Linked DNA regions of Oryzias latipes. The protein of the gene in region 1 interacts with the protein of each later gene in a pairwise test. Links are inferred from orthologs where the notes say so. Each region holds a gene or a part of one and is shown on either strand. Other genes may lie near its edges. The genes, in order: aldh16a1 and dera.

Region 1 (16,630 bases):
GCATGACCTTCTCATCTTGGGAGCAAAATGTAAATCACCCTATTTTTAGGCAGCTTTGGGTCCCTAATATAATATCACTCCTAAAACTGATCACTCCCCCCAACCAGATTTTGGTTTGTTGCTTCAACCAGACAATCATCAATTGTTTTGTACTTGAATTTTACAAAACAGCAAACATTAGGGACCAAACACACAGCAAATAAATTATGTTAATATTTCATAGAACATCAAAACAATCAAATATATCCAAAATCCTGTATTTATGAAATTTCTTGAGGGTTCATCACCTTAACGCGGTGTGGAATTTCAGGACACAGTTGAAACCGGCGTGTAAAACAGAGGTGTAAATGGCTTTTTATGCTAAAAAAGAAAAAAAAGAAAAATGTATTCGAGAGAAATAATGGCTATATGACCAGTATGCATGCAGGGACACACATTTACTGTTCCAACTGATCCCTGGCTGAACCCTGAGCTCATAACTGTCCCTCAAACCTGATTCATAAATCTCCACTTCCTCCCCGTTTTAATGAAACTTCGCTGTCATCACTTTCTGAGCGAGTCTCCCTCACTAAAAGTTCCAGAGGTCTCCTTCCATAAAAGGGTTTTAGGTCAATTTCCTGTGACGGTGAGTAGATTTTGAAGTTAAAAAACCATCGACTATGATCACACATGCTAATACACTGGGTTACCTGAAACGCACAGCGTTGACTCGAGGCAACAAATGAAAATGAGCCGTTTTACTGTATGAATATTTTTTTTGAAGTAGAAAAAATACTATTAAAGGTACTTCTTCACATCCACATTCACACATTTTTTAAATTACATTTACATCAATATAAACATGTAAAAAAGTTATCTTCAGCTTATTATGATGATGACGTCTCTCTTGTAACTTACAGAAAAGACCCCCTCCATCCATAATAAAAGTCCCCCCACTTTAAACTCATCATTTTATTGAACAGTAAATATATATATATATATATATATATATATATATATATATATATATATATATATATATATATATAGTTTTTTTTAATCAAAATTGGAAATCGTGAGACTTTTGGCAACACTATGCAGTAGAGCCCAGCTACTGTTTTTAATAAAATTGACAACTGAGAAAATATTCTAACCTCTGGAAAACAAGAAGAATGAGGTGTATGTTTAAAAAAAAGAAAAAGTTGCCACAGAACTTTTTATTTTCTCATTTTGGTCACCCCCCCCCCCCCCCCCCCCAACACACACACACACATAAACAGCATAATTAAAAGGTTTTTAATGTCTTAATTTGCGTGATTTCTTTTCAAACGGACTCGCTGCAGCGCTTCAGGTGCACATCTGACAGCCTCAAAACATGAGCTGATGAGCTTCATTTGCATACCGCCAATTAAACTCAAAAAAAGGCGGGATCTCAGGAACCAGCCAATAGGCGCACAGCAGAGTTTGACTTTGACCAATCACAGCGTTGTTTTGGACCAGACAGCCTGTTCCCTTGTTTTAAGACAAGCAACCGTTATCGCAGCTTCCCAACGGTTGCCAGTCTTCCCCCTTATTCTCCCTTTTTCAGTCAAATCTCAAAAAGCAGGGCATTGAAACAGCATCGAACTGAGTTCCACATAAGAAAAAAAAAATACCCGAAAAGCTAAAAAAGAACACACCAGCTAGCGTTCAGTATTTATAATCCCACAGACCATCATTTAAACATCTGCAAACTGAAATGCACAAAGCTAGATGCCCCCCCAGCCCTTGAACACGACAGGCGTGTATTTTTACCTCTGCGCGGCTAACATTAGCTATGACGTGATGCTGTCCCACCTTTCTCCGCGGCATTTTCAACGATGTGGCGTCTCTGTAAGGGCAGCTTATTATCCAGATCTCTGAGGCCGCTTCGTTTACGGTTCCATTTATTTCAGCAACAAGCCGCGGCTGGAAAGGTTTTCCGCTGGTCAATGGAAAGTATAAATGTCTGCACTTCCCTGTGCTCACGGCGCGATCTCCGCTGCCTCTTGATGGTACGCTGTCAAAATAGCTCCGGGTGCACGTGTCCGTCCATTAATTCATTCCCCACCCTTCAATTTAGAAAACATAAAATGTGTCCGGGGTAAATAAAAATACATAAATGAAAAAAAACTGTAATAATTAAGACTTAATATTCCCACAAAACAAGTTAAGAAAACAATACAATTAAATAAAAGTAGGAAAATTACAAAATAGCTTAGACGGACAAAAAATGATTCAGAAATTTTCCCCAAAACACGGGAAGAATCCAACTTTATAGAATTCCCAAGATCCTTAAATGACATTTTCAGAGAATGTAAATAAGCAAGGAGTCAGTAAAGCATAGGTATAAGTGACAAACATGGCTTTAACAGAAGCCAGTAGAGAAGTTGTTTTTGCATCCACTTTGTGTATTTCTGTAAATAATAACATATACAGAAACATATTAAATGATGTATGCATGTAGAAAACTACATATTGTATCTAACATGATACATTAATATGCATTAAATGTCGTTTAAAACATGGCTTTGAGTTTCACCATTACATCTCTTAAAATGTTCTTAGTCCTGTGCACATTGTTGAAGCCCTGATCAAACAAACAAACAAACAAACAAACAAACAAACAAACAAACAAACAAACAAGTAATCCAAAAATTTAAAGAAATTCAAGACTTTTATCTTTAGTCTTTCTTTGTTTGAATAGAACCAACCACACGATGGAAGTCATTGACCTAAAGATATCCTCGGCAGTTTATGAGGGGCGGCACTAGAGGGAGATATGATCACAAAGTCATCAGTTAAGACTAGAGTATCAAAAACTATTCACCTGAATTTAAATTTTATTAAAGGTTTAACAGTGCAGTTGACAAAATGCAACCCTGACATGACCCTCTGACCACAGGTGGAAGAAATATACTTTCTCCACAGGAAGGTTTGAAAAAAAAAGGTGCTCGGCCAGTTCTTAATACCATTGAGCTTGTTCAATATTCTTTAAGTCCTACTGATAGATTTAATCCAATAACTTTGTAAAGAACACTGAAGAAATAAACAAGACATTTTTAAGTACCGGTAATAGGAATTAAAGCAACAGATTCCAACAAAAACAACGATATTTCTGTTATGCAGTTTATAGGATCATTGAACATTTAACCTCATCGCTGCCTCATTGAGTTATATAAGGTGTACTTCCATCTAGTTTTAGCCATTTTTTTAACATCGTGAGTTTTTTCTGGTTCTTCCTCAAGGCTCAAACCATTAGGCACCAGGACAAACACGTAAAATTAGGCCCTGGTTATTATTGATATATTATTGATATATTGATAGAGACATTCAGAGACAGTACTGTAAACTCTATGCTCAGGCAAATATGCTGATGAGAAAATTCAGTGCATGTTCTCTTCAAGTGAAGTGTTCGCTGTTCAGATCTTACTGCACTCCTCTGTATACGGCCCCTCTTTGGTGGAACTATGGACGTGGGACATTCCACAAATTCTTAGTGGCCTATAATGATGCTTTTAGGCTTCTGCTACAGGTGCCCAGGTGGTACAGAGCCAGTCAGCTGTTTGTGGACGCTCACATCCCCACCTGTGAAGCTCTACTGCGTAAGCTTACATACAGCCTCATGGAACGCCTGGACAAATCTAAGAACTCAATTATCATGTCTCTGACTGATCCCAAAAGAAGCTCATGCCGCTACACTTCTGCCCTAAGGAAACACTGGATACAGCGATTATACTCTTTTTAAGTTATATCTTTTTACTTTTTATTATAAATACTGTATTTGTATCTTATGTTTTATTTTATTCTCTTTTCTTCCTATGGACCACCTGAGTCTGAAATAAAAGTTTGATATTATTATTATTTATTTTTTTCTATGTTGAAGGTTTTATACTAACACTATGTCACATTAGCGTTTTCCACAAACACAGAAGGCGCTGACTTTCATGGGCTTGGGCATCTTGGGTTTCTCTGCAGCCTTTTGGTTCCAATTTTAACCGTTGTGTTATCCTAGACACTGTAACATTGGGAGTTGGGTCATCTAGACCCACTAGACAGTGCGCTGAACCTTTTTTCTTCTATGATTTGCAATCTTCACTGGTTTCCATGGATTACATGAAATCCTTTCCACCTTTATCCACCTTTGTCATGGTAGGGAGAACACGTCAATGGTCATCTTGACCCCATAGGATAGCACAAGGGTTAAAGGGTCCCCCCCTGGGGAGATGGAGGAAGTGGCTGGGGAGAGGGAAGTCGGGGCATCTTTGCTTCAACTGCTGCCCACGCGGCCCTGTCCCAGATGGGCGGAGGAGGATGGATAGATACATTTTAACAGTTATGGGTGAAGTTTTCCAAAATTATATTACAAAAAGGCAAAACAAATAAAGTTAAACAAAATTTTAGGTGCAACTAAGGAAGATTGAGCATAACTAAACAGAGCAAAAACAGAAGATGAACACTTCCCTGTTCATACGACACACTCAAAGACTTCATGTTATGAACTGTGACAACTGATCATCATTCTTTTAAACTCATAAAGTCTTTCAAATGAACCAAAAGAAATTACTGATAGAAAATTACATTCAAATAATTAACCGGTGCAATTTAATCGATGCTCCAATTAGAATATGATCTGCCCAAATCTTAAGTTAAATACAAAATATCAGTGATAAAAAATAAAAACTTTGTGTAATTAAAGAGAATAACTTCAAACCAGAAGATACATTTTTTCATAGATCCAGTAGGACTCTATCCAAAAAAGCTTGTACATATTAGTAGCAAGGTTAAAATTATATTTTATTATAATATATTAGGTATATCATATTTGGTAGCTAGTTAGTTAGTTAGTTTATTCAGCAAAATTGGCTGAAATGTTTCACACTGTGGTAAAAAAAAATTTATAACGTGTGTCCTAACATTAATAAGTGTTACTGTTTAAATTATCGACCGGAAGAATATCAACCTTCTTGCGGTGGTCAGTCACTGAATTAAAAACGTCATTTAATAATAAACATAAATAAAAAGTCATTTAAGTGGGTGTTAACCCAACTGCTGGGTGCATCGACAAACGCCATGGTGTCGCACTGCATGAAGCGTGTGAGACGGACCGGAAGTTGGTGGGAGGAGCTTAGAATCTGGCGCAGGGAAGCTAGCATCTTGTAGTCCATGTGACATCTCAGGAGTGCTCCTGCTAAAAAAAATATCTGTATGTCAAACGTGACAACAGTTTTATTTATTGTTGACATTTTTAAAAATCTGAGTAGCACCTCAAACCGGCGAGTTGCCTCGTGCTCCACTCGGACTAGTCCTCTGTAGTATGGCCGGTCCAACCACCGAGACAGTATTCAACATTTTCCGAAGCATGGAGAGCGGACCCGCTGCCCCTTCCTCCGCAGCCACCGCACAGGTAAAGTGTCAAACAACCCGCTAAAGTACGTTTTCCTCCCGGGAGTCTTAAGTTAGACCCGCCTGAACACGCGACGTTTCAGCTGACAGTCACCCACGAGTGGAGCATGTGTTTCAACTTAACGTTACTTCATGTTTTTCTAAAACATTTATTGAGTTTTTAACTTTGAACCCTTTTATTGTCCTTTTATTTTATTTTTTACAACATAGTAAAATAAAGTCACTCTAGTTATTGGTTTGAACTGGAACCTTTTTTGACAGCTTTGGATTGTTGCAGAGATGAGGTTTTAACGTTTATTGCAGACTTGTGTGTTTTTTCTTTCTTTCCTGAAATCGGTATGGAATGATGCATTATGGGTACACACATGTAAGTAATAAGTGCACAAATTTAAATTTATACAATGTGAGGAAAACCCTTTAAACCAAACGGAATCCTTGAAAATCCCTCTGAGATACACTGCTGATGCTTTTTACAGATGTATCTGTACAAATAGTTATCTATACATTACTTTTATATAATAATTGTAACCATGAGTCTGTCGTTTGTATTACGACCAGCATATAAAGTCTCATCAGTTACTATTAAATTCATGTTAGATAAATACAACTGATTGCAGGTTCGTCTTTTTTTACTTGTAGTTTTTCACTGCAAATGTTGAGTTCTGCACTTTGCTCTTCTTGCTTGTAAATTTTTAACAGATTCCACCAAAAAAGCACCAATGCAGGGGGCAGCATCCAGCCCACCAATGAATTTGGGCTCGAGTTTTGATTTATGTCTCCTTTCTATAGTCTTATCAGCCTGTTCATCTGCTCTATGTTACACAATTTGATCCAAAAAATAAAATTAGATCTGTCTTGTTTGCACCTGGTAGAATATCTAATAATAGTTAAAGTTGCACCATTCCTTCATAATAATAGTCTTGAATTCAACACATCAACATGGTTAATTCAGCTGACTCAGATGCGACTGCAAAAACATATTTAATACAGAATGTGGAAGCCACTTTCATTCTAAAGAGTTAGCAGAAATATGAACATATCACATACAGTAAATGTGACCAAACTAATTCAAAGACGTAATTCCATAACATCTCTAACATGAATATTAAATGAACTGACTGTAAAACTATAGTATTGTTAAATGCATCAAACTTTTGATTAAAGGCCCACTCTGATCATCTGATCATCTTTTTAGTGTCGCTTTCCAGGACATAGTTTCTGCAGAGCGGCAGTAGTTGATTAGAAATTTTGAGGGCGGGTCCATTGGTGTGGAGCAACCCCGCCCCCCCATTCCCCTCCCCGTTGCTGTTTTTTTCATCTGCTCCTGATTCACCATGATTTGAGTAAAGAAATACTCAGACATGCAATTTTAAGTTTCTTTTTTTTTATGTAAGTCCTCCATCATGAGACCATTACTAAAAAAATGTTGGTCTTTTAAGTGTTTTTTTCTTCTTATTTTTTTATTTGAGGTTATCTTTTTACGGTGACAAACAAAAAATGCATCGGTTGGTTTGATTTGAAAATTGTGTTTAATTGTATTTAAATGTAATTTTTTCTGTATAATCATAAACATATGGAGTCGTTCTTTTGCGATTTCAATACTAAATGGCTGACTTAGTTTTGAGTGTGATTACAGAGAAACATAATCCTAGATGAGGACAGATATTGGGACAGATTACAGCTCCTCTGAGTTCATGTTTTGGATGAATGAGACAGTAGGAGGGATCCCAACAAGCTTTTGTCCTCTGTACTTCCTGATCAGGCCTGGCTGGATCATCATTCCCGCTCTCTGGGCTTCTTCATTGATGGGAAGTTTGTTCATTTGGCAGAAAGGAGGAGCCTCTCCGTTCTCGACTCTAAAGGTGAGCGCCGACCGATGAACAGAAACCTGTTAGTGGTTTTTTGGCGGCCATAGGAAACTCCTCCTCCTAAACCCACCAGGCGGTCAGGTGTGCGGCGTGCTGTGTGCCGAAGAGGCCGACGTTTCCCAGTGCGCCGCCTCTGCTGTCAGCGCATTCAAGTCCTGGAGCCTCCTGAGCTGCTACCAGAGAGCCAAAGTGCTGCTCAGGTCTGTCCAACGCCGTTCCACGGAGCTGCTCCGTGTGGACCGCTCGTCTCACGACCTTCCTGTCCTCTGCTGTCAGGCTGGTGGGCGTCCTGGGGCTGCACGGTCAGTGCTTGTCGGAGCTGTCCCAGCTCTGTGCGATGGCGTGCTCGCCTCCGTCCCTGATCAGGCTCCTGCAGTTCTACAGCAGCTGGGCTCAGCTCCGGGACACGCTCCTCTCCGGCTGGACGCCTCTTGGTGAGTCTTTGTGGTTTTTTTTTACCGTGGTTTACGGCGCTCTGACACACCTTCGTTGTCGTCTTTTCCAGGTGTGGTGGCCGTTGTCACCTCTGATGACTCTTCTGTCTACTCTCTGATGCTGAAAGTCGTACCAGCGCTCGCCATGGGTGAGTCCCAGGCGCCTACATGCCCCGCTCCCTTCGCCTTCGGCGTTACAGACTCCTGCTCTCTCTCATTTCCAGGTAACGCTGTGATTGTTGTTCCTGGGCGGAGCGTTGCCCCTCCAGCTCTCCTCTTGGCGCAGCTTTTCTCAGGGGCGGGACTTCCTGCTGGGGTTCTCAACGTTCTAACAGGAAGTGACGTCACGCTCGGCGTCAACGTGGCCCAGAATCCCAGCATCTGCTACGTCACTTACAGCGGCAGCAAGCCAGTGTGTGACATTTCAAAGCCGGGGGGTAATGGAGCTGACTTTACAGTCTAACGGGTGTTTCTGTGCTCCAGGACGGGCTGGCGCTGGTTCAGGCTTCAGCAGGGATGGGGGTTCCCGTCTCCGTGTCCCCCTGCGTTGGGGCCACGTGTCCCTTCATCATCTTTGAGTCGGCGGACATAAACAGCGCTGTGGACGAAGTGATAGAGGCAGCCTTTAAGAAGAAGAGTGAGGTGATGCAGCAAAGGATGGGATGTTCGCCTGATTCCAGCTGCAGTCTGCTCCAGAGTCCTCTCTGCGCTCTTCCCTCAGGTGCACTGGGTGTTGTGCGTGCAGGAGAGCGTGTGCGACAACGTTGTGGATCGTCTGAAGCTGCGCTTGGCCGGGTTAAAGTGCGTTTCCCTTCAAAGTGAGGCTGACCGCAGCCTGGTGGACACCGCAGTGCAGGAAGCTCAACAGCAGGGGGCGACGGTGAGTCAGGAACCTTTAGACATGTCCGAGGTGCGGCCCAAGCATTGGTGCTGTCCGGATTCCCACCCTAACCCCTAACTACTAAAAAACTATATAGTGTGGGACTATGTAGTGCACTGAATTTGAAAAAGCAATGATCAATACCTTTTTAACGGTGGATATGACGTCATCAATTTCACGAAGTTAAAATCTAATTAATATGAGCGTTTTATGATGATTATTTATGAGTCCACTGTCTTCTGAAGATAAAAACGTTGATGTTTTATTTAAAAAAAAAATACATTTAAATGCATTTTTTGGGCAAAACTTGTTCAGACGCAATGCATTGTGGTCTAAATTCACCGATCTAGTGAGCATTGATGCACACTGGTTTTTGGCAGAGACTTCTGGGAAATTTCTAGGGCATACGATTTTGGAATTGTAGATTCGCACAGAACTGCAGAACGGCAAACGCGCTACATAGTGCACTATGTGGTGAGCAGGGAATGAATTTGGACACAAGCATGGACTGTATAAAGGAACTGGAGTGAGTGAGTGAGTGTGGCGCTATCAATGGGAAATGATTTACTTCCAGCTCGGTTCATTCTGCATTTTTTCATGATACTGATGCCGCCGTGTTGGAGCCAGACGTCGTCAGTAATTGATCTGAATCGGTCTGTGTCACCGTTTCTATGGCAACCATTCTCGACAAACAGGAGGGAGCTTGTTGGAAGTCCACAACCCTACCAATGAAAGCTCGGGAGAATCTGATAATCAAACGTTTCGAACGTCATACGTGAGACCACTTACTTTTACTGAGGCATCTGATCTGCTAGTTTATAATTTGAATAACTTGTGTTACTGATTTTTTTTATATATTCATATAATCAAGAACATGTAAATAAAAGGTATCAGATCTACTTATTCTGACCAATAGAATGGATGAGCAATTGCTGTTTATTTCTCTATAGAAGTCTATGGGGTTCTGGTTTCTTGGAACCAGCAGGTACTTCCTGTTGGGAACGCCAAACAGGAGGAGGGGCCACTCAGTCCAGTTCTCATGTACCGTCTACATGCCCACATGTGGGCAATGATTAACTTAAATCTACCCTGGACCTGTATTCTTTTACTGTAGTTGCACCAGCTCAGTGGCCTTGTGGTAGGGTGTCCAACCTGTGACTGGAAGGTCGTGAGTTCAAATCCAGGCCAAGGACTCATACCCAAGACTCTAAAAATGGGACCCAATGCCTCCCTGGTTGGCACTCAGCATTGAGAGGTTGGATTTGGGGGGGTTAATAATCCAGATCTGCAGCTCACCGGTCAATTTGGAAAAATAACATTCATGTTAAGTAGAAAAAAGTAAAAAATTGTTATAGTTCTCCATTTCCCCCAAGATGTTCAGTTAATGAAAATTATAGAACTGCGGTTGAAAACCGGGCTCTCAAGCGTTCACCCTGCCAGATCTGACTGTCTTTGGACCCCCCCTATTGCTTTAAACTCTGTTTATACAAATCAGCAACGTTTAATGATTGTATTGACTTCTTTTGTTGTTTCTTTGTAGTTAATCCAGTCGTGCTCCGCCCCCCCGTCGGGGCCTCTGTATCCTCCCACGGTGCTGTGCGGGGCGGCCCCCGCCTCGCCGTGTGTAGTCAGCCCGGCCCCTGGACCTCTGCTGCCGCTCATGACCTTCAGATGTCACAAAGAGGCAGTAGCTGTGGGTAAGGACGCCGCACCGCCGCCACCGCCGCCACCGCCGCTCTGGACTTTGCTCCAAACGTTACATAAAACAGAACCGCAGAATTGCAGCTTCTCAGAAATGTGTGCCGGTTTTGACAGATTCAGAAATCAGTGTAGATACTTTTAATCTAATAATAAATGCTGTAAAAATATATTAAACATGTTAATTACCCCAAATTTCAAGGTTAGTATTTAGTTCTTCATATATGTGGTATATTTCAAAGTAATTATACAGCATTCTTTTCATTTTTAAGTCTATTTCTCTTCAGTTTGTTTGAGTTTTTTCCATCTAGATTTCTCCTTTTATCTTTTTGTGTAAGCACAAATCGATTGAAAAGATGTTTTTTAATTCCTTTTTCCCCCCCATTATTTTTCCTTACTGTGGTTCAACCTGTAAAGTTTTACTGTATATGTACTTACATATTAGGATTTGTGAGTAAATTTTCCCCAAAAAATCTATTTGTGGTTCAAAAAATCTGAACCTCTTAGCCAGTGCTGTGTTTTTTTTTTGTTTTTTTCAAAATAGTTTTTATTGGATTTTAGTGCAGCAATATTGAATAATAAGTGATACGGAACAATGTATGCATTTTCCCCTCCTTTTCCCACACATTGAAACAAAAAAAGGGAAGGAACCCCAAACAAAAGGGCGGTACACATCCAGCCAGTGCAGTGTTTTTAAACCAGTGAAAGATGGTCATTGCTTGGATATCAGCTCTGAGTTCATCCAACCAGAACCAAGTTTTACTCTGAGTAATGAATACAGAATAAAGAGTTTTTTTTAGTACACTTTTGGTTTGTGTTCTTCTTTTTTAAATCAAGTGAAAAATACACTTGGGCTCAAAAACTGTTTAGAAACAGTTTAAAAACACTGAGCTACTGTAACGATTTAATGATTGACCTGTAGGGGGCAGTATATGTCCTGGAGTCATTATTCATTTTTTAAAGGGCCCTGTATCATGCTTTGAAGCTTTTCAGATATTGGGCCTAAAAAAGGAAAGCGTTTAGCTGATCACCGCTAGCTCGACGGAGAAAGTGGGTGTGTGTGTTAGCCTGGGGGCGGGGCTAGCCGCGCAGACTCTTCCTGGAAGGGGCGGGTACTCACTTTATGACATCACAATGTTTTCATGGATTGGGAGGGGCTGGTGCTCAAAGGATGGATCAAAATACCACTTTGGGGTCGGGGAAGGGACATGATAATACTCTATAGAGTTGATTTAGCACGATATCGGCCCTTTCCAAGTACAGTTTTACGCTGAGTTTTAAAGGCGGCGATCCAAAGTCGTGCAGCCTGACTTCTGTTTGGCTTAAATTGAAAAGGCAGAACAGGCTGTGGGTTTACCTGTGGACCTCTGTGGTGTTTAGGGAACCACAGTCCTCACGGCCTGGCAGCTTCCATCTGGACTGAAGACCTGACTCTGGCTCTGGAGACCGCCAAGAAGTAAACGCTAAACCCTGATTCCTTTCCCTCTTTTCTTCATTTTGTGTCCAACTGTCCCTTTTTCTGCTTCATAATTTATAAACGTTCTTTTCTGTTTCTCGCTCTCGCTTTTTACTTGGATGTTGTCTGAAAGGTTGTTCTCAGCTCCCATAATTCAGCTCTGCAAGGAGCCTGAAAGAGGCTGACTCAGAAACCTGCAGGGCGGAGCTGGGAAGTGTGTGTGTGTTAGCTGCCACGCTCTTCACACCTTTGCTGTCCTCCTCAGTCTGTCGGTGGGCTCGGTGTGGGTGAATTCCCACTCGGTGGTGGATCCGTGTCTGCCCGTCTGCGCTCACAAAGACGGCGGCAGCTGCACAGACGGAGGACAGGAGGTGAGCCGCGGTGGACGGATCGGAGCTCTGACGTGAGCTAAGCCCACGTTCAGAGTTGAACTGTTGTTGAAAAGCAGAGGAGATGCATGAAATGAGACTGAAGATGTGCTTTTGAGTCTTTAAAGACGCACTCCCATCATCTTTTGAGCTCTTCCAAAACTCTCCCAGTGGTTTTTAATTATGAGTCTACCGTTTTTAGCCAAAATCCAAAAACATGTGTCGTTTTCCATGGCATAGTTTCTGCACAGCTCACGTTGGTTATAAACTCATGTCTGAGTTTGGGCGGGACTGTTGACCCCCTTCCTCTTCCTGTTGCTGAGAGCCCTTTGTTTACATGCTGTCTCGCTAACATACAGCTAGGGCTGCAGCTATCGATTCTTTTTGTAATCGATTAATCTAGCACTTAATCGATCGATTAAGCGAGTAATCGGATAAAACGACTTGTGTGTGTTTTTGAACGACCAAAACAAATAATGCATAACAAAAATGATGTGGTTGTAAAATGAACAAGCATTTGATTTTAAAGATCCGCTTTGATGCAAATGTTACTTTGGTGTTTTTAAGTTGGTCTTGAGAAGTGGCGGAGCTAGAACATTTTGTATGGGGGGCAGAAGACTTTGAAAGGGTGGCACAACACCAAAATGGAAGGCCATTAAAAATAAAAGAATCAGAAAAACATATTTGATCATTATCATTGTTTATATTTTGTGTAAAAATAATGCTTTTGTTATTTTTGCAATGCTTAAAGAAGCCTCGCGGTCCGCTGACAGGCGAGCTACCGCCTGTCCCAGCCCCTGCCTCTCGGCGCCCCCTCCATGCTCTTAGCTGAGTGTCCCGCGGGGTCCGAAGCGTTTACTTTGAAAAAATTAGAGTATTCAAAGCAGGCCCGGTCGCCTGAATACCGCAGCTAGGGGCCCTCGCCGCCCGCCGATGCGGCCCGCGCTGGTCGCCGCGGAGCGGCTGACACCGCCCCTCGCTCGCTGCCGGAGCCACGCGCCGGTCCCGCGCCTAAGGCGTCGGGGTTCCAGCGGTCACGCAGATGTCTTCTGTTCAGATGCTGAATCATGGAAGATGTGCTGTTGTGGTATGCCAGCTCTATTTTGCAGTAGAGACACTGCACCTTGTTCTCTTCTTTATGAAGTGTGTAATGATCCCACACTTAAGACAATTTCTGCCGTTAATTTATAGATCTATTCTCTGCCATCGCGCCAACTAAATTTAAAAGGTCCGTGTGAATAAACGGTCCGTGTGACTCAATCAAATCCCTGCGCCGCGCGTATAGTGCGCGTCATAGGAATTTAACGAGGCTTCGAGGCAGAGTTTTTGCCTCGAGGAATTTTTGTAATCGAGTAACTCGAGGAATCGTTTCAGCCCTACATACAGCCCTGCACAGCCCTAAGCTACTCAAACTCTGTTTACTTCAACAGTAAGATCTCTGTAGAAAACACAGTCGTCTGCTTTCTGCTGGATCCTGTTTGATTCACATCATGTCTTTTCCGTCAGGGTCTGTACCAGTTCCTGCGTCCGTCCGTCTCCTCTCTTCCTATTCGTTCATCCGCGGTCCCCTTGGATTACTCAAAGTTTGGGACAGAAGAGTCACCAGCAGTCATTCCTGACCCGGCCAGGTAAAAGCTTCTTACTAATCAGTCTGTTCATCCTACAACAGCCCAGGGACAAGTTGAAATGACTCTGCTTTGTGTTTGTCTTAGCTCTCCTCCGTCCTACCTGCAGTTTGTTGGGGGCAAAGCCTGTAAATCAGTGTCTGGCTGCAGTGTTGCTGTGCAATCACCAGGGGGCGGCGGCGGCGTGCTGGGGCTCTGTCCAGAGGGAGGCCGGAAAGATGTCCGAAACGCCGTGGAGGCAGCGCTCAAAGTCCAGCCCGGGTGAGAGAAACCTCCCAGCAGGACGATCTACCGTGATCCTGCTCTGAGGACAGGGCTGCTACATTCATTATTCTGTAAAGATGATCTGCATTTAAACCTAAATATGATCCAATTAAATTTAAACAGTTTCCTAAAAGTTTCAGTGCTGAAGATCTGAACGTCTAAAAACGTCTGAATTGTTCTGAGTTGTTCTGCGTTTCTGGTCGATGTCCTCAAAGGCTAACATGAAGAGTCCTGCCATCGGTCTTCCAGAAAAGTCCTACAGAAGTTGCCGAGATTAACACCTTTTTCTTGTGTCAGCGGTTTTCCCTCAAAGCCACGCCCCTGTTTGTTTTTAGCTGAATTTGCACTTTCAAATGTCGGATTTTATTTGTAGAAGTGTTGAAGTCTTTGCTGCTCTGTTTCTCAGAGTGGGTCCTCCATGCTGCCTGTTAACTGTTTTCTGAGTGTTGGTGGATCAGCTGAACCAGGTGTGCTCAGGCAGGTGAGCGCTGAGCTCAGCAAACACCAGCCTAACCTTTGACCCTGGACGGTCCAACCATATCACTGTAGATAAGTGGTTTGGTAACGTTTAATCCCGACTGATTTGGTATTTCTCACGTCGGTTTGTATGAAAAAATTCAAAATTATCTTTAAAAAAACAAAACAAAAAAAAACTTAAAATGAACCTTAATACGGCCAAGTTTAAAGACATCTGAAGCAACCTGAGGTTTCCATGGAAACGTGTCCTTCTCAGAGCTTTAGAACAGAACAAACAGTCCTTCGATCCTCTGATGGTTCTCAGGTTTAAACCTATAAATGTCACTCATTTCTAAATAAATCAACTCAGAAGTGACACCGTTTTAGCTTTTCCCAGGCTTTGGAGTTTCTTAGAAAATATCTGTTGTTTTCGAATGTTTTTTTTTTGGATCTTGTGCCAAAGTCCTGTTCAGAGGGGAGGGTTATGCCGAGTTCTTTCTCAGCTACGCAGTAAATTATTGATGTGACCTGATAAAGTTCTGTTCCTGGGACGGTCCCTCATGTAGCAAAGCAGCTTTATGTGTTTTATTTGTGTACAAAGACAATTCAAAGGTCTTTACACCAAACTAGAAACATTTGACAGAAATATTAAAGGAGTGATGATAAAAATAAAGTTAAAAAAAACTGGATTGAATCAAATGCAGCTGGAGAACAGGTGGTTTTTTATCCTGGATTTAAATAAACTGTTTCTGCTCATCTGAAGCTTCCTGGAAGTCTGTTCCAGATCTGTAGAGCATAGAAACTGAACGCAGCTTCTCCGTGTTTGGTTTGACTCTAGGAACAGACAGCAGACCGGATCCAGATGAGCACAGACATTTGGCCGATACAGACTGGGTCAGGTGGTCAGTCTTGTATTTTGGTGCTAAACCATTCAAAGGTTTATAAACCAGCAACAGAACTTTAACGTCTCTCCTCTGGCAGACATGCAGACCGTGTCAAGACCTCAGAACCAGACTGATGTGGTTCTACTTTTTTGGTCCATATGAGAACACGAGCAGCAGAGTTCTGAATTTTTATTGACCTGTAAAAACACTGTTTAGTTCCCCCCCCCCCCCCCCCACAATGTGTCAAAAGTAACAAATCCCCTGTCTCTGATGTGTTTACGGAGAGCCATGCGTCGCTATGGTAACCAATGACGCTGTTCTTAGCATGTAGTTGTTGAATAGAAGTAGCCTAAGGAGGGAGCCTTGGGGAACTCCAAATGTAATTTATGTTGGGTCAGGTGTGAAATTACCAATCGACACAAAATTCTTCCTGTTTGCCATGTGGAACTCGAGTTCCACACGCTTTAAACATCCGTTCAAATTTCCGACAGTTTAAAAGATCTGTATCCTTATAGATGGTTTTTGGATGGTCCTGCTGTGTTTGGGCATTTCTCCTGTTTGGTAACGGTGACCTCTGACAGCTGGTCGGTCAGGCGGTGGTTGCACACAGTGAGACATCGCTGTGGGTCAGACCGCCACGTTTGCACATCACTTCAGCTGAGGGTGGAGCGTCAGTTTTGACTCACCTGTTCTTTCATAACCTGAACAAAATCCAGGTGGATTCCTCACGCCTGGAGGGAAAACATTTGTCTGAACATTCCACTCTCCCTCCAGCTGGCAGAAGAAGACTCCTTCTGCACGTGCGCTGTCGCTGCACGCTCTGGTGAAGGGCGTGGAGGCAAAGAGGCAAGATCTCGCAACATCACTACACACCCAGACTGGTGTGTCCATGGACGAGGCTGAAAAGGAGGTGGAGCTAAGCATCACCAGGCTCGCTCTGTGGGCGGCTTACTGTGACAAAGTGCAAGGAGGATCTCTGGTGAGGAATCGTGAAGGTGGTCTCAGCTGACTGTCAGGTGGGACCATAAAATCATCTCAGTGTTCCCTCTCCATGGGTCCTTATTTCCCTCGCCGTCCTCTTTTTCAGCCCATGCCAAAATCGGGCTCCGCCCTCTCCTTCCCAGAAGCCCTGGGGGTTGTTGGGGTTGTCCTGCCCGATGAAAGCCCCCTCCTCTCTATGGTGACGCTTCTTGGAGCAGCGATTGCCTCGGGAAACGCTGTCGTCATGGTTCCCAGCCAGAAGCATCCACTGCCCACCATAGCTTTCATTCAGGTAAACGGCCAACTGTTATCC
Region 2 (16,630 bases), on another chromosome or scaffold:
ACATGGACGCTTACTTGGCTGTAACATGCCATTTTATCACCGAGGAGGTAGGTATCCCCTGCTTTGTGCAATGCTTTGGTTTATGTATCTCAGTTTGATTTTGTTCATTCTAAGTGGAGCTGGCCTCTGTGGTCTTGGGGGTTCTGAAGTTTCCCCAAACCCACACTACAGCTCACTTGGCTGAGGCCAAAAATCTTCTCATGGAAGAATGGGGAATTAAAGGGAAGGTGCGAGCCAGATCAATAAAGTACAAGATCATTCATCAATATGGCCTCCCACTACCTAATATACATGATTTGTGAACATGTAATCTTTCTTCCAGGTGACAGGCCTGGTTACAGACTGTGCTCCCAACATGGTTGCATGTGCTAATATATTGCTGCTTCGGCACATAATGTGTTTTGCACATATGCTTAATTTGGTGGTGAAAAAGTCCCTTGCCCAAACCCCTGAACTAGAGGATATCCGAAGTAAGGGGCGTAGGATTGTCGGTCTTTTTAAATCCAGCACCACAGCGAAGGAGAAGCTGTCAGAGATGCAGCGACAGCTGGCCAGGCCAGAGCACAAATTAATACAAGAGGTGAAACATTTTCTTTTTTTTAATCTAAGATTTCACAAGTTTTTGCAGTTGTTTATTGTGTTACTTTCTTCTCTCCTTTAAAATGTGCTTGCTGTCTTATCTTAGGTGGAAACAAGATGGAACAGCACATTTAATATGTTGGAAAGGCTGTTTAAGGAGAGAGAGCCACTGGGGGCAGCTCTGGCCACCCTCCATACGGACCTTCCTCCACTCACCTAAGAGGACTACCAGGCCATACACCACTGCTTGAGCGTTCTTTCACCGTTTCAAGAGGTCACAGTTGAGCTTTCGACAGAAAAACGAGTGTCAGCATCCAAAGTCATTCCCATGGACAAAATGCTGAAACATTACATCTCAAGCAGGTGTGGTCAGATCACACACCCACTTGGTGAAAAACTGGCCACTAACTTGAAGAACCATGAGAGGTTTTCAGCTCTGGAGAAGGTCACTGCTCTGTCAATGGCAACCTTGTTGGACCCAAGGTTTAAAGAGCTGGGGTTCTGCAGCCAAGGCTCTGCCCACACGGCCATAGAGCGACTCACTAAAGAGTGTGCTGCAACAATGCAGGCGCTACTTCCAGAGGCACAGCCACAGTCGCCACCTAGAGAAGGTCCTTCAAGTCAGCAGGAAGATGGTGGCCTCTGGGCCCTGCTGGACAGGCATGTGGGGGTTCAACAGCAGGTGATCAGCACAACTGCCAGTGCAACAGTGGAGGTTCAGAGGTACAGTAAAGATTAGAATCCTCATCATAACTTCTGCTCATTTTTAACTGGTGTATGACAATAGGCTATTAATTTACTTCTAGGTACTTAAAGGAACCCCACATCTCAAGGACTGAGGACCCACTGAGATACTGGGTTACCCACAAGGTTTTATACCCACATCTCTAAGCTGGCAATGAAGTTTTTATGCACACCAGCTTCATCTGTGCCTTGTGAGAGGATCTTCTCCAAGGCTGGCGAAATCGTCAGCCAAAGACGAAACAGGCTGAAGCCCAGCACAGTGGAGAAAATTCTGTTTTTAAATAAAAATCTATAACATGTATCCCACCCAGTCATGTTAGACCCTGGTTCACAATCACTCATTCTCACTTTATACATGGCATTCACAATGTAACACAAGCACTTCTCACAAATCTTCAAACATTGTCTTTGTTTTATTTCCACACTGAAGTGTTGCAAGGGCAAGGAACTTAGTGGAGTAGATGATATACGTCCTGTCTCCCATCAGATGCCGCTGTTCTGTGTGGTTTCAAAGCCCCGAATGCTTCATTCATTTTTCTGGCACATTTACACGAAGCCCCATGAGAGCTTCATGGGGCTTCGATTCCCATCCCTAGCCTTTACCTTTACGATGTTTGTCTATAACATTATTTCTAATGTCCTGGGACAATTCTCTCCTTTGCTTGCTGTTGTCCATGTTCAGTGTGGAACACACCTTTTCACCAAACAGCAACGTGACTATTTGTCTCCCTTTAAATAGGCAGACTGACCTATTATAGGTTTGAAAACAGCTGTGATGTCAATTAAAGGACATACCTGAGTTCATCATGGCCCCCTGGGCATTTAGTTCTCAGTCTTTTATTTCTGTCCAGCCCTATTTCATTAGTTTGTTTTTTTAAATAATTCTATTAATCAACAACTCAAAAGTAATGGCTGATTTAATTTTAAATTTTAACTTGTTACTTTTGAACCTTTCAATTCATTTCAGTGAGCATTGGGGACTTTCTTTCTTTAACTGAGGGGTAGCAACAGTTTTGTCCACCACTGTAGAAAACGCTGATAAAGGCAAAGCAGATATTGGCAAAGCAGATGTAGGCAGGCGCAGGCAAAGCAGAAATCATAATAGACAAATATGTCATAAATAGACTATTCTATAGTTAGCTAATTTTTTGAACGTATGATTTAAGTTTATTTTTACATAGTTTCAATTATCTTGTTCTTAACTCACTTTAAAGTCATTTATACATTACCAGTAGTGACAAAACATACATTACCTGAAAATCTGCACCTTCCAGTGGTGAAAGAAAAACATTACATCAAATTCCGTAATACAGTAATAAACAAGCTAAGTCTCTTGACAGCCGTCATTTTTGATTTCCTGATATAATTGTTTAAATTTGGGTTTGATCACCTTTTCTGATGAATGTGAAATTTACTCAAAATAAAATCAGTAGAGTCGTGAAACCAAAATAGTTTTCTTTGCTTTATGTTAAAATAATAATTATTTTTGTGAATTAAACAGTTTTAACCCAAAATCTGTATCTTTTTTTTTTTTTTTTAATTACACCCCTCCCCGTCCGGCTCCACGTCCTACGTCACAGATCCGGAAGTAGCGCTTTGACAGCCCCGTGCTGTCCACGTGACTCGCTCAGTTAGTTGGCCGTGAGGGTCGGAGTTGAGTTTCTTGGTCATGTCGTCTAGGAATCCCGGAACAGCCTTCGGTAAGTGGCGCGTTTGTGGCGCACGGTTCCGGTTCCGTGCAGCTCTGCTCCAGTCGCCATGACAGGCGGAGCTGCGGTGCGCGGGCTTTGCGGGGCTGACAGGCGTCGTTGCATCCTTTGGAAAAAAGAAGAGAGCCGCTGAGGTTTAATGAGTAACTAACAAGGTTGACTGACCAGCAGGTTAAGTCAGTTTAATGTTTACGGTGTTCTGATGTATCATGGTCCTGCTGGAAGATCCAGACACGTTTCCTCCTCAATGTTCCACCATAGATCCATTCATCCTTTCCTTCATACAGATCAGTGATTCTTGCATAAAAACAGACCCAAACCATGATTTTCTCTCCCCCGTGCTTCACAGTGGGTTTAGTGCCTTTTTGTTGGCAATAACTCGGCATTCATCCTCTAAACATGGCAGGTGGTGTTTGTGATCTCATCTGATCAGAAGATGGTCACCAAATCCTCCTCTGATCGTTGAGATGGTCTCTGAAGAACTTTAGACTGGTCTGGACATGTGCTGCCTTTTGGAGTAGCCAAGACAACGTTGTGTGTTACCATAGTAACCTTTGTCACTGTGCTCCCAACCCTCTTCAGGTCTTTCACCAGTTTCCCTGTGTAGTTCTAGGCCGTTCTCCAGATCATTTTCTAAAAATTGCTCATGAAGCAGTTTGCTTATTGCAGATCGGTTCATTCCAGCCTTGTTCAGGTCTGTTATCTAGTCTCTGGTGTCCTTAGACAGCTCTTTGGTCTTTGTCCTGATTGAGACACTCAGGTAGCATCTGAAACATAAAGAATTTATGGATCATATGCATCATATACTGCTCTCTGCTCTTCATCAGTGACATTTTTTACAGTGTCTATCTTACTAAACCCAGACTGGACTGTCTTAACTTTGTTTGATTGAGCACCATCTGAGGAGAGAAGCAGTTGATGTTTGTTCCAGACATGAGAACTTGTTATCCTATGGTGTCTGGTGTTCGCTCAAAGCTTAGCATTGGGTGTGTTTCATTTTTCTTTTGGCTCCAGGAATGCTGTAAATACGTTTAAATTAACAGGAAATGTCTTTGATTGGTTTGACCTGACTTTGGTCACACTGTGAGTCACAAGACCTGAAGGAAGCAGAGATGGTTCATGTTGGTGGAAATGTCTGGGACACTGAAGGATGAACCTGACAATGTGTGTCTGTTAATCCCTGTATCGTACAAAACCCTTTTGAGTTAAATAAAGTTAGTTTTTTTACAGTTTTGGTTATTGACTGTGTATGAGGACTGGACTGAGTGACCCCTCCCCCTGACTTTCCAAACAGGAAATACCTGCTGGCTGCAAGAAGCCAAAATCCCAGAGACTTTTACTAATCAGATGCCTCAGTAATAGCGTGTGCAATCAAACGTTTGACAGATTTAGTGGTAGGGGTGTCAACTTCCAACAAGCGCACTCCTGATTGGTGAGTTTGGTTGCCATAGAAACAATGACTCAGACTGTCTCAAACCAATCACTGTGTACTGATGTTGTCTGGTTCCAACATGGCGATGCGTGTATCATAAAAAAAAAGGCAACTGAATTGACTTTGTTTAGTTGGAGCCAGAAGTAAACCATATTTTTATGGGTGACTGAAATCAATCAGTCCAGTTCTTATATACAGTCAATGGTTTTGGTCAATGAACCAAAACATTTGTTTTGTTTATTATTTCATGTATTCATTGACACCAAAATCTGGTTTGAGTAAAATGACGTTTTTTTTTTTAGACAAACCTTTTTCCCGCCTTTTTTCTATAATTCATCAATTCATCTTTCATTCATTGGCGGATGATCAACCAATGAGAATAGAGCATACTGCCATCTGCTGTATGGAGGAACATCTGCATTATGTGCTGGACTGTTGTGGTTAGTGTGAAGCTGGACAGGCAGAAATGAGACTCGGAGAACGATTATGATCTATCATGAATAGAATGGAATAAAATAGAATAGAAGCTTTAGTAATCCCAAAGTAAAATGAAAAGCAGCCAGCTGCTTGCATTGATCCATCTTCTTGTCTTTCTTGTTTGTTTTCTCCTCCCTGGAACCAGACCTGGAATGGGTCTCCAGAGTGCGGGTGAACACACAGGCGGTCCTGAAGAGGGCTCAGAGCATTCAAGGACAGAAGCTTCCTAAGAAACAGTGGCAGGTGAGTCTGCACACCTCCAAAGCTTTACTCCTAACACGTTACATTTATCTCTCCTGTCTTTGCTGTTTTCTGCTTTTTTGATCAAAAATGAGCTTGAATATGTGTCGTTTTCTCTCTGGCATGAGCTCCGGCCTGCCTGCCCACGGTGGGGTCTGGTGTGGTCACCACAGAGGGGGGGCTGCTGGACTTTCCAGTTAGCATGTGGCAGAAAATGAATGGCTGCTTGGAAAGAAGGCCAAATTACCCCAGGTTCACCTCCACTATCAGCTTTAGCGGAAAGCAGAGAGGAAGAATCTGCTTCCTGAGCAGAAACAGGAAGTTGGTTCGGTCTAAGAGGAGCCTGACGGCTGAAGGCTCTGAAACCTCCTAAACGGCTAATCAAGCAGACTGAGAACAAAATGCTCAGCTGGGTAAATATATGGGATCTTTGAGATATTTATGAAGTCTCTCAAGTTCTGAAATCTACTCTATTTTGAACAAACAGGACAAAATGAGAGAACTTCAAATGTGTTAAATATGACCTTCTACCCATTTTCAATAAACTCTGGCAGCAGCATTTTGGAGAACAGCCTGAAAGTAAAGAATCACAGCCGTTTAATCCTAAAGTAACAAATGCATGAGGTCATTTTTCTGCATCACTTTGAGACAGGGCGTTCGGATTTTAGAAATATTTCCAATCCGAAAGGAGAAAGTTCTAGAAACTTGATTTAAGTGAGGGTCAAGTCTTTAAGGTTCCTCACAGTCGCACTGGAGACCAAATGAGATCCATCCAGAACAATTTCACTTCTTTACTTTCCCTTTATGTGTGTTTATGCCGGGAGAAGATGGAAGAACCAACACTTTGTGCTCTGTTTTTAATGCTTTGCTGACAGTCTGCCTGGCTGCTGAAGGCCGTTACCTGCATTGATCTGACCACCTTGTCTGGAGATGACACGCCCTCCAACGTCCATCGACTCTGCATGAAAGCCATCCAGCCAGTGAGACACGACCTGCTCAGGAAGATGGACATGCATGATAAAGGTCATTTTTTTATCCTTGTTATTACCACCACAATGCTAAACAATTCAGCCATGATAATAATTAGCTTGTCGGGTAAATGCTGAGGCAACTTTGAATTGACTAAAGTCCAACTCTGATGAAAATTATGATTTTGGTGATGATGATGATGGACATGTAGAAAGAAAATTAAGATCAAAATTGCATTTCTGAGTTTTTCTTTATTCAAATCATTGAGAATCGGAAACAGACGAAAAAAAATGCTTTTGTAGTTGTTACATGGGAACTATTATGGGCTGCCACAAGCTCCCTGCTCCGCTCTATTCTGTCAGACAGATCCATGAATGTCTCTGTTTTCCTCATCTGAACTGGAATCTGGATCTGAAGTGTTGCTCTGTGCTAACAGTACCGCCCACAACTCAGAGGTGAATTTCTGAGGAGCTCCTGCCGCTCTGCGGAAACTATTTCCTAGAAAAGGACACAGGTTTTTGGATTTGACCGAAAACAACATCATAATAATGAAAAGACCACTGGAAACACTTTGAAAATAGATCAATAACTGACTTGACGTCATTGACTTTAACTTATTTCTGTACCTGACCTGTTCCTTAAGCAGTGATGAAAGTCTTCCGGGAATTCCCGGAAATCCGGGTTTTTGAGCAAACCGAACGTACTTTCCGGGAAATAAAGACCTGATCTCTACGGACAAATCGCTTTCCGGATTAAAAAATGGTCTGAAATCAGCTAATTTTAGCTTTATTTTCTATATTTCTCCGCAGATCGCTTCCTCTATGGTCGTGGCCATCTCTCCGTCTTCCCGGCCTAATTGACCAATGACGGGACGTTTTAGTTGCTTTCGGATGCGTCGACGGGTCTGATTGGCTCTGTCTGCACCACGTGGTCAGCGTGACTCGCTTCCCTAGAGACCAAAACTGGCGGACCCACGCTAAACTTTCACAAACACATCTGAAGAGTTTGCGATCAAATTTGTGTTAAAATAATGGCAGGCATCGTCATTATTGAGCGTGGTCACGACCTCAGTTGTGAGAAGACGATAAAAAACAAATTGAAGTGGTCTTGGCTGGAAAAAAAAGATTTTTAAGGTAGTGTAGGTCAAATACTATTTTGTGTAAAATAATCTCAAAACCACATTTTGAAATAATTTCAATTTTAGTTTTGAGTTTCAGTTTTTATTTTGAATACATTTCTCTATCTAATTTATTTGTATTTCCTAATTACCATGATTTAGTTCAGTATAGTTGACATTAATTATAAGTATTTGATGGTTTGGACCCGCACTCCCTTAAAAAATAATGTTTACAATGTTTAGTTTAGTTTGTATTGTAGCGTCCCACTGACGCAATAATGAAGCTGAGGCGACCGTTTCTAACCGTGAGGCTTTTTAATGACTTAGGAACAGTTACTGTCGGCCGTAACCACGCCAAATACAGCACAACGATAATGAGAACTTTCCATCAACGCGTCCATCCTCCCCCACCCCCTCATGCACCCACGACCCCTCTTTTATTGTCTGCTCCTCCGCCCATTCTCCCGCTCATCCAATCACACTGGAGCAACGATGTAACACAGAACACATTAACAGAGCCCCAACAACGTTAGTCGCTACACTATGTTTGTTTTGATATTTCCCAGATTACTTAGTATTGGTGTTAAAGAATTGATGTATTATGTTATAGAATTATAGTTTAAAGCAGATCCCATATTTTGATGTAATTATAGTTTGAGAAAACAGTGCAAGTGGATGTTGTACATCAGTCATTTCTAAAGCAGAAATAATGTATAAATAACTGAGGTATTTTCATAGAATATCATAGTTACTGGTGTTCTTTTTGCCATTTGGGGCTTTGATGTTACTATATTTTAGCAATTGTATGTTTTGCAGCTTTAAGGAAAAGCGTAGATTGTAGGATTGTGTTACTTTGAGCAATTTTCCAAATTCTTTTTTAGGACCAGCAAGTCCTTAATGGAGAGTCAAACTAGGGGTTTGAATGACAAATCATGATGCTCCAATTAGTCTTAGTTTCTTGATAACTAGTTGCCAGAATGCACCAGAATGCATCTAAGACCACGTATTTTTCCAAAATTTCGCATTGTGCCCGCCATATCGCTCAAAGAAAAGTTCAGGGATTTTTTGCTTGCCTGACTTTCATCACTGCTTAAGGTGTTCCCTTGTGGTTTTGCCGCCACCAGATACAAACCTGTTTTTACGACTGAGTCTATGGTCCATGGTTTGTGTTGTCACTTCCTGTCACTGTGTGACAGAGCTGAGTTAGACATAAGCCATGTCCTTTACAGACTCTTTTCATACCTATGATGACAGGTGTGTTTGATGGTCGTCTCCTGCTCATTTGTGCTCAGTTATCAACCAGACACATGTCCTTTTAAGACCCGCTCCGATCGTCTTCTGATCTATTTACAAAGCGTTCCCAGTGGTCTTTTCATCACAATTTCGCCATTTTTAGCTAAAATCATTTTCTAGGACATAGTTTCTGCAGAGCGGCAGGAGTTCATTAGATCCCAGAGTTGTGGGCGGGATTGTTGTTCCGGGACAACCCCGCTCCCTCTCCCCTCCCCACTGCTGAGAGCTCTTCGTTTACACTCTCTTCCACTAGCTTACAGCCTCTCACAACCCCAAGCTAACATTAGCAGGGCAACAAAAATGGTGAGTAAAATCCAGCCGTACAGTTTAGATCCTGATTTCAGCTTAGACGAGTAAAACAAAGACGTTCATGGATCCATTTGTCTGCAGGTGGAGGCATCAGAATGGGGCGGAGCAGGAAGGTTGTTTCCCCACCCAGTATATTTTCTACGTCACTAATACGATCTTTTTTAATTTTTAACTGCATTTTTTTCTGCTCCTGAATCACCACAATCTGAAGAATACTTAGAAATGCATTTTTTTAAACTGAATTTACTTCCTATATGTCCATCAACAGAAAAATGTCACAAGACCATGTTTAAAAACAGCAAAAGCGGGAGTGGATCTTTAAGAAAACAACTCCCTTCAAGAAGCCCCGTGGACTGTTGCTGTAGTTCAGTGTTTTTCATCCAGTTTTTACATTTTCCCTTGATAATTCACCAGATTGAGCTCATCTGCTCTGTAAAGACCTGAAAATAAGACAGTTATTAAATCAGGTGTGATAGACGAGTTCAAAGGTCAAACAATCAGAGCAGCAGTGATTAAAGTTCTGCTGGGGACTAATGGCCTCCTAATCAGGTGCTGCTGTTTTGGTCTCACCCTTTAGCAATGAAACTTAGAGATCCAGTTCTTGAAGACAGTACATACACTGAAGTCAGAGCTGCTTTGAGGAAAAATGATTTTAGCGTCTGTTCTGATGAGGAAATTTAATGTTTAAACATTTGTAAATCTGACTGATCAGTGGAAGCGTTTAGTCCGGGGGTCGGCAACCCGCGGCTCTTTAGCGCAGCCCTGGTGGCTCCCTGGAGCATTTTCAAAAATGTTTTAAAATGTGTTTTGTTTTAATATGGTTTCTGTAGGAGGAAAAACAAGACATAAGTAGTCTTTATTTTTTCCATTGTAAGAGCTTGCAGAATTGATAATGCAATGTCCAGCAGGTAAGTCACATACAGCTGGAAAACAAGCCAATCTGGCTACAAGTTGAAGTGTCAATCAACTGTCTGCGCTGGAAACAAGTCGCACGACTCCACAGAGACTCAGAGAGGAGGGAGTAGAGAGGTTAGCCGAGAGTATACTCACTTTTCCTGCATTACTTATCCCAATCTGTTTGACACGCATTACGTTGAACATTGCACTGTAGTGATCGACCTCTCTCCCTTCCACACTCATGGTCCAACAAAAAGAAACAAACATAACAGGAAGAATAAACTAAGGTGGAACAACAAAACTCCCATATTAAAAGAAACGTGGGCAAACAGAAACGCTCATGCTGAGCCCTAATTAGATCAGGAAACTGCGTCCCAAAATCCCTCGCTGCTAACAGACCTAAAATGCACATGACCGCCACTAGCCCCGCCTTCACCCCCTAAGGCTCATGGGAAGTGGGAGTTATAGGGTAAAACCTTGAGTAAGAGTGTTGTGAACTGAAGTCAGGTCCATGCTGTTTGAGCTGATTGTGAGCACTGGAACAAGTGGTCTTGATGCAGAGAAGTAGAATTTGCCTGTCCTGCTAGCCATATGTCATTGAGACTGTGCTGGGTTGTGAGTTGTTTAAGGCATGGACAGTTCTCTTTAAAAGTTTCTTGGTAACCAGTTTAGCTGCTGCTACGCAGCTCAGGTGACAGTCCGGCTGGGTCATTACATTATAAGGCTTCAGCATTTCTGTCAACAGAGATGTGCGTCATAGCTTACGACACACGTTGCTACCAGTGGGGCTTTTTTTTAACTTTCAGCGGACCGCTAAACAGCTGGCTGATGTAAATGGAACTGCCGTCAGTTCCGTGCATTGCTTGATGAAGTTGAAAACGAAGTCCGATGGCTCTCCGGGGTGACGCTTTTTGTCACTTTGTCGTCTGTTTAGAACATGTGAAAACATTCCTGAAAAGCAAAGACCTGAACTACCCGCACTTGGAAGATGCTGGGTGGCTGGAAAAGCTGCACTTTTTGGTGGATGTGACTGACAGGCCATCTAAACGAGCTAAATGAAAGTCTCCAGGCGCCGCAAATGCTTGAAGCGTCGTCATGCACGTTCCATTTTATTGTTTTGTCTTCGAATCCTCAAACTAAAAATGAGATCAAAAATCAGATTTCTTTATTAAATTTCTTTAATTTTATCAAAGCAATGAAACATAATTCATTAATATTGTAATGAAGTTAAACTTGCACAACAGAGCAGTCACGTGACGCGTTGCTCTCCGCAGAATGCACTGCAGGGCAAATAAACATTTAATCGTTAATAATGCTCATTATGTGTTTCAAGCAACTTAGTCATTTTGATAGTAGGCTAAAATATCTAATATAGACACATATTGCACTTGTTGCCTTCATTATAAGGCTTAAATAGGGCTTTTAATATTTTTCGGCTCCAAACATATTTGTTTTTTTCGTCCAATTTGGCTCTTTCAACATTTTGGGTTGCCGACCCCTGGTTTAGTCTATAAAACACAAAGAAAAGGACATTTCAATTGTACTGAATAACAACAGCTTGGGAGCAGTACCGCCTCTAACCAGCAGAGGGAGACACAGACTGGTTCATGTCCATCCCTTATCTTGTTACAGGAATCTCTACAGCTGCAGTGTGCGTCTATCCTTCTCGTGTTGCTGATGCCGTCAGGTCATTGAAAGCAGCAAACTCCAGCATTCCTGTTGCCTCAGGTACGACAACACCTGGAACAACTGTCGACCAACACAAACTGCAGTGTGTGTTTGTGCGTCACCCCGTGCTCTGTGCTCATCAGTGGCGACCGGCTTCCCGGCCGGACAGACGCCGCTGGAGAGCCGCCTGCAGGAAGTCCGCTCTGCGGTGAACGACGGAGCCACAGAGATCGACATTGTCATCAACCGGATGCTGGCTCTCACAGGGCAGTGGGAAGGTAAGACGGGAAGAAGATTCTTGATTGATGCCTTTAGCTTTTTCAGATCAGATTTCAGATTCAACAGAAAAATTCCAGGAAATTCCTGTTTCTTTTCTGCTTTTCAAAACCCTAGAATGTAAACGACTGATGGATTTGCTGATTCTTTTAAGCTTCATTAGCCATTCATTGTTATAATCCTATTCCAATGAGGCCAGATTGTCTTAATTCTGTCAAAGTCACCCGCCATTTTCATTGAGAGTTTTTTGGGGAAACGGTTGTACTGAGAAAGCTAAAGGAGACAGTGGAAGAAAGTCCCTCTAAATGGAACATTGGAAGGAACCTGCAGTAGAACTCGACTCAGTCAGAGGAACCATCTGCTGAGACCGGTTAGTTCAAGTGGACAGAATCAGACAATACTGACCATGGTGGTGGAACATCCTTAACAGCTGTGGTCTCCAACCTTGTAGGCAACCCACTAGTTTTCACAAATATTTTCACAAACCAGCCTATGTCTAAGTCGGCGTCTGATTTTTATTTTAGCTGCCAGTTTTCCTTAACTTTTGAGGGTAAAGTTAATCTTCACCCTTTCTAAAATACTGGCAGCTGTTTTAAAATCTATTTATACACCAGATTTAGTATAGGAACCATTAAAATCTGATCTAGAATTTAACCCTTTAACCCATTCCCGTCAAAGTGGAAGTTAAAAAATCAGACGCCAACTTCAGCCTTGTCTGACCTTTAAGGTGCGACGGATACAAAAAAAAAGATCAATTAAGTTGGTATTTTCTAAAATAAACATGAATCCACCAGTTGAAGGACTTTATTAGCAGCATCCTCGTAACATTACATAACCATTTGCTAATTATTTTGCATTATTATTGTGGTCTGTCACAATAAATCCATATTAGGAATAAAGACTCCTGGTTTTTGTCTGTTAAATGCAGCTTTCTTTTATTTTGATACTGAAGGCTCTTTTCTGCTAAAAGAAACTCTCCAAGTATTTTCATTTTTTGTCAACTTTGTTAGTTTCAAGGCTTTAACATGGTGATCGGCGCAGCCGCTTTAGAAAAACAGCAGATTGATTTACGTCACGTGACCGAGCGACGCGCCAAAAAAGAGTCGGGTGTGGTGGAGAACATCCAGCAGTTTTCCAAAATAAAAGTTCTTTTAGAATCAGATTATAAAGAGAGTAGAAATATTATGGGGTGTGTTTTTTTCTTTACTCTGAGCTATGTGCTGTTTTTATAGGACATGGTAAAAATAAAAGTCATAAACCAGATGAGGACCAAGTCACTAAACTTCTGCTGTAGGACAAAAGAAAGATGCTGATGAGCATCAGAAAATACTGGAACATCTGTTAGAAGACGAGCCACACAGGCTGAACTTCAGACCAAAAAAAAAAAAAAAGCAGAAAAAAGGACCAAAGCCCAGAAAACTGGGAGGTGATGATGTGTCTGATGAGATATTGTGGGACCAGCTTGATTAAAGGAAGACGTTCCATCTGTAGGAGGTTGTCCAGGAAGCACAGAGGAACAAAAGAAAATGAAGGTCTTCCAGGCTGCAAGTTTTTTTAAATGTGCAAAGTTTGAAACGCATTTCATCATTTGCATTGAAGTGATCTTTCTAATGCTGACAGTGTGAGCCCGTCCTGCATCTCTCACAGGTGTGTTCATTCAGTTCAGCAGGAGTGGACATGAATATGTAAAGTGCAGGTTTGGTTCTGACCCGAGAGTCTTGTTTTGATGGTGAGTTTCAGTTCTGGTTGTCTTCCAGCCATGTTCAATGAGATCCGGCTGTTCCGAGAGGCCTGTGGCGACGCCCACATGAAGACCATCCTGGCTGTCGGCGAGCTGGAAACCCTCAGCAACGTCTACAAGGCCAGCATGGTGGCCATGATGGCGGGTCAGTGTCACGGCGCCACACAAACACAACTCCGCTCTTCATTACCGCTTCATGTCAGAGCGTTCTGTAAACCTTTTTTAATCAGACATGGATTATCTCATGTCAGTTTAGGTATAAAGAAAGGGGCGTGGCCAAATAATCACAGCTTTGTGTAAAGGTTTGGGTTTACTGTAAACTCACTGAGATGAAGCTGATCTGAGCAAATGTGAAGGAAGATAAGAGAAAACCCTAAAATCCTTTGGTAGGCTGTGAACAGGAAAGAAGACTTAAATGAAGTATTTGTAATTGTCAGTGTAAATCTGTGCAGTAGGGTTTGATGTCTGAACTCCTAGGCTACGTTTACATCGCTCTTGATAACCACAGTAAGCCACCTGTTTTTTTATTAAAGGTTTATGTAAACGGGCCTTCGTGTTTGAAACTCATGCTTTTATGTGTCGCTATGCAAGTTTCTACGACCGTTTTTGGACTCTACATACAAAGTGCGCAGCCATTCAACATGCTGAAAGTTAAACCAGTTTAAACTTTGACCAGACAGAGACTTGGATTTGGTAATACCAACTCTACCAACGGTTTGAAAATTGATCATGAAGGAGAAAGGAATAATTGCGGTTTGTGCCTGGCTGGAATTCTAAGACACCAAGTCTTTCATTTATCGGAATAAAGAAAGAAAAAGAGCTGTGACAGAAAAAGCCTGGAGCCAGATTTGCCAGATTATCATGCGCTTTTACCGTGTTCTTGAACACGCATCACATGTCTGGTGTGAAGGTAGCATCACAGAACACAACACTTGAGAAGGGCTTTTAGAGGTTTCCCAATTATCTTTAATGTGACTGAAATGAAAAAAAAAACTAAAGAAGAAGCTGGAACCTCCTGGAGGAGCTGAACCTCCTCCAAACAGATCAGTTCTAACGGCTGATAGTGAGAGGGAGAGGAGAGGAGCTGAAGATCGTCCAGAAGGTTTGGAGGAAGACCTCTGAGCCTGAAGGTCGCCACGATCCTCCATCATGTCCGACCTCTGCATAAACTCCATCCTCTTTTCAGATGTTTCAGCTTTTGTTCCCCCGGGCAACAGCTGCTTAAACACACCGAGAAGCAGCTTAACTGTCCATCCCATAATAAGCCGCTCCAAACAACTCTGTTAGAGATGATTATTAAAAAGATTTTCTAGTCTTTATGTAAATCTGTGAGTTTTTATGGATCACACACGAGTTTCTGAAACTGAACGTTGGCGATCAATCTGTGAAGGAGGCTATTTTCCTCGACCCCCTCCAAAATGGATGGAGCTTCACTACTGCCCCCCACATTTAATAACCCTTATTCATTATCTGCTAATTAAGACTCCTCAGAACGAATCTGTGGGATCATGGCGGTTGGAGGAAGAGGAGGCCTAAAACGGTCTGGAAGAAGGTGGTTTTAATGAAGCAGGAAATGTTCTGGAGTTCTGTCGGCTAATGAGCCGTCATTCCTCGCAGAATCCTTCTTTCTGCTCCGCCCTCCATCTTCTATTTTTACTCGCCGCTGATAAACCGGCTGAGCACAAAGAAGAGAAATGAGCGTTCAGGCAGTTCCATATGTTCATGTCTGACCCGGGCAAAGGCTGGAGCCCCGCCCTCACTAAAGGAGGGGACCTGTCCCATGACCAACCAGCTATTGAACCTGGTCTTATCTTTCTGAATAGAGTTTCAGCGAGTGTGATGTCATCCTTAAAATATGGTTTACTTCCGGCTCAGATGAAAAAAAGTTGACTCCGTTGATGTTTTTTTCACAAAATGGAAAAATGTCCAGGAGGGAACAAGTCCTAACTTTGTGACGTCAGAATGTGAGGACCCACAATGTAAGGACTCACTCATTTTGGTGGATTGGGAGGGGCTGGTGCTCAGAGAGCAGGTTTTTAGAGGAATACTGTGTGAATGGATCAAAATACCGCTTTGGGGTTGTTGACACTCAAAAGCTCAAAAAGTGGATTTTTTTCATGATAAAGGCTCTTTAAATGTTCACCGTTTTATATGTAAATGATGTGAACATGAAAAAGATATTTATTTTAGTCAGGAATACCAAACGCTGGTTTTGATCAGAGAAACAAATCTGTTCATTTTGTTTACAGTGGACATTTTAGAAAAAGGAAAAAAGTGTCACAGAAAGGTGCAGTGACAGGGTTGCCACAGGTTTACAACGAATTAGACTCAACTTTAGTCTCTAAAAGTCAAACTCTGCTTTTAGAAAGTGCTGAGGCTGCATATTGTTGATTTCATGTCAGGAGACTGAACTTGAATTGTGGCTACATTTGGCCCTCGGGCCGGACTTTGGACATGCCTGTCTTATACAGTCAATGCGTAATGGTGTGAGTGGAACCATCGATGCCTTGTCTTTCATGTTTACGTTTATGAGTTATGAAAGAAACCTGGTTTCTTCTTCTTCCAACGCTCAGGCTCCGACTTCATCAAGACGTCCACGGGAAAGGAGGCGGTCAACGCCACGTACCCCGTTGCCATAGTGATGCTGAGAGCCATCCGAGATTACTTCCTGTGCACAGGACACAAGGTAAAGTAATTGTTCACAAATTGTTTCAGTTTAACGCTTTTCTTAATTTATATTCTTTTTTATGAAATAATTTGATCTTCATATGAAAAACTGTCAGCAAAAGCCTTTCCTTGCATCTGGAGCATCAGAGTAAAGCTGTAGGACTCTGGAGGAGGAGCGGTCTTTATATAAACCTTCTGAAGATGATCCACAGTGAGCAAAGGAACTTCAGTCCGGACAGACTTAGAAATGTTTTCCTTGGGTTGGACTGGATGGTCTTCCTCAGCCACTTTCTGAGTGTTTTGCAGCGTTCTGAACCCTAACAGAGGCAGAGAGCGCTGAAATGTTTGGACCGGACTCTTCTGCACCTCCAGCTGTGATAGGCTGCGGCCTGTGTTCCTGCAGGTGGGCTTTAAGCCGGCGGGGGGCATCCGCACTGCTCAGGAGTCTCTGGTCTGGCTGACTCTCATCAAAGAGGAGCTGGGCTCCGAGTGGCTCCACCCCCACTTGTTCC

What was found.
Region 2: the proteins of aldh16a1 (region 1) and dera interact in binary tests that used the Homo sapiens proteins (3 or more experiments, as listed by UniProt). The link is inferred for Oryzias latipes from reciprocal best matches to the Homo sapiens genes ALDH16A1 and DERA.

Annotation. Positions count from the first base shown.
Region 1 is NC_019866.2:23,299,440-23,316,069, forward strand, and holds the start of aldh16a1 (aldehyde dehydrogenase family 16 member A1), read left to right. Parts: upstream 1-5,103; 5' UTR 5,104-5,314; coding exon 5,315-5,404; intron 5,405-7,165; coding exon 7,166-7,265; intron 7,266-7,344; coding exon 7,345-7,471; intron 7,472-7,547; coding exon 7,548-7,705; intron 7,706-7,776; coding exon 7,777-7,854; intron 7,855-7,929; coding exon 7,930-8,117; intron 8,118-8,188; coding exon 8,189-8,347; intron 8,348-8,426; coding exon 8,427-8,585; intron 8,586-10,125; coding exon 10,126-10,282; intron 10,283-11,663; coding exon 11,664-11,739; intron 11,740-12,004; coding exon 12,005-12,110; intron 12,111-13,613; coding exon 13,614-13,735; intron 13,736-13,819; coding exon 13,820-13,993; intron 13,994-16,110; coding exon 16,111-16,315; intron 16,316-16,423; coding exon 16,424-16,609; intron 16,610-16,630. Other genes in the region: histone acetyltransferase KAT7, read right to left, coding at 1,774-1,830.
Region 2 is NC_019881.2:11,376,281-11,392,910, forward strand, and holds the start of dera (deoxyribose-phosphate aldolase), read left to right. Parts: upstream 1-2,891; 5' UTR 2,892-2,992; coding exon 2,993-3,023; intron 3,024-5,086; coding exon 5,087-5,184; intron 5,185-6,056; coding exon 6,057-6,204; intron 6,205-11,398; coding exon 11,399-11,494; intron 11,495-11,577; coding exon 11,578-11,712; intron 11,713-13,467; coding exon 13,468-13,596; intron 13,597-16,024; coding exon 16,025-16,137; intron 16,138-16,521; coding exon 16,522-16,630. UniProt on the Homo sapiens protein: Catalyzes a reversible aldol reaction between acetaldehyde and D-glyceraldehyde 3-phosphate to generate 2-deoxy-D-ribose 5-phosphate. Participates in stress granule (SG) assembly.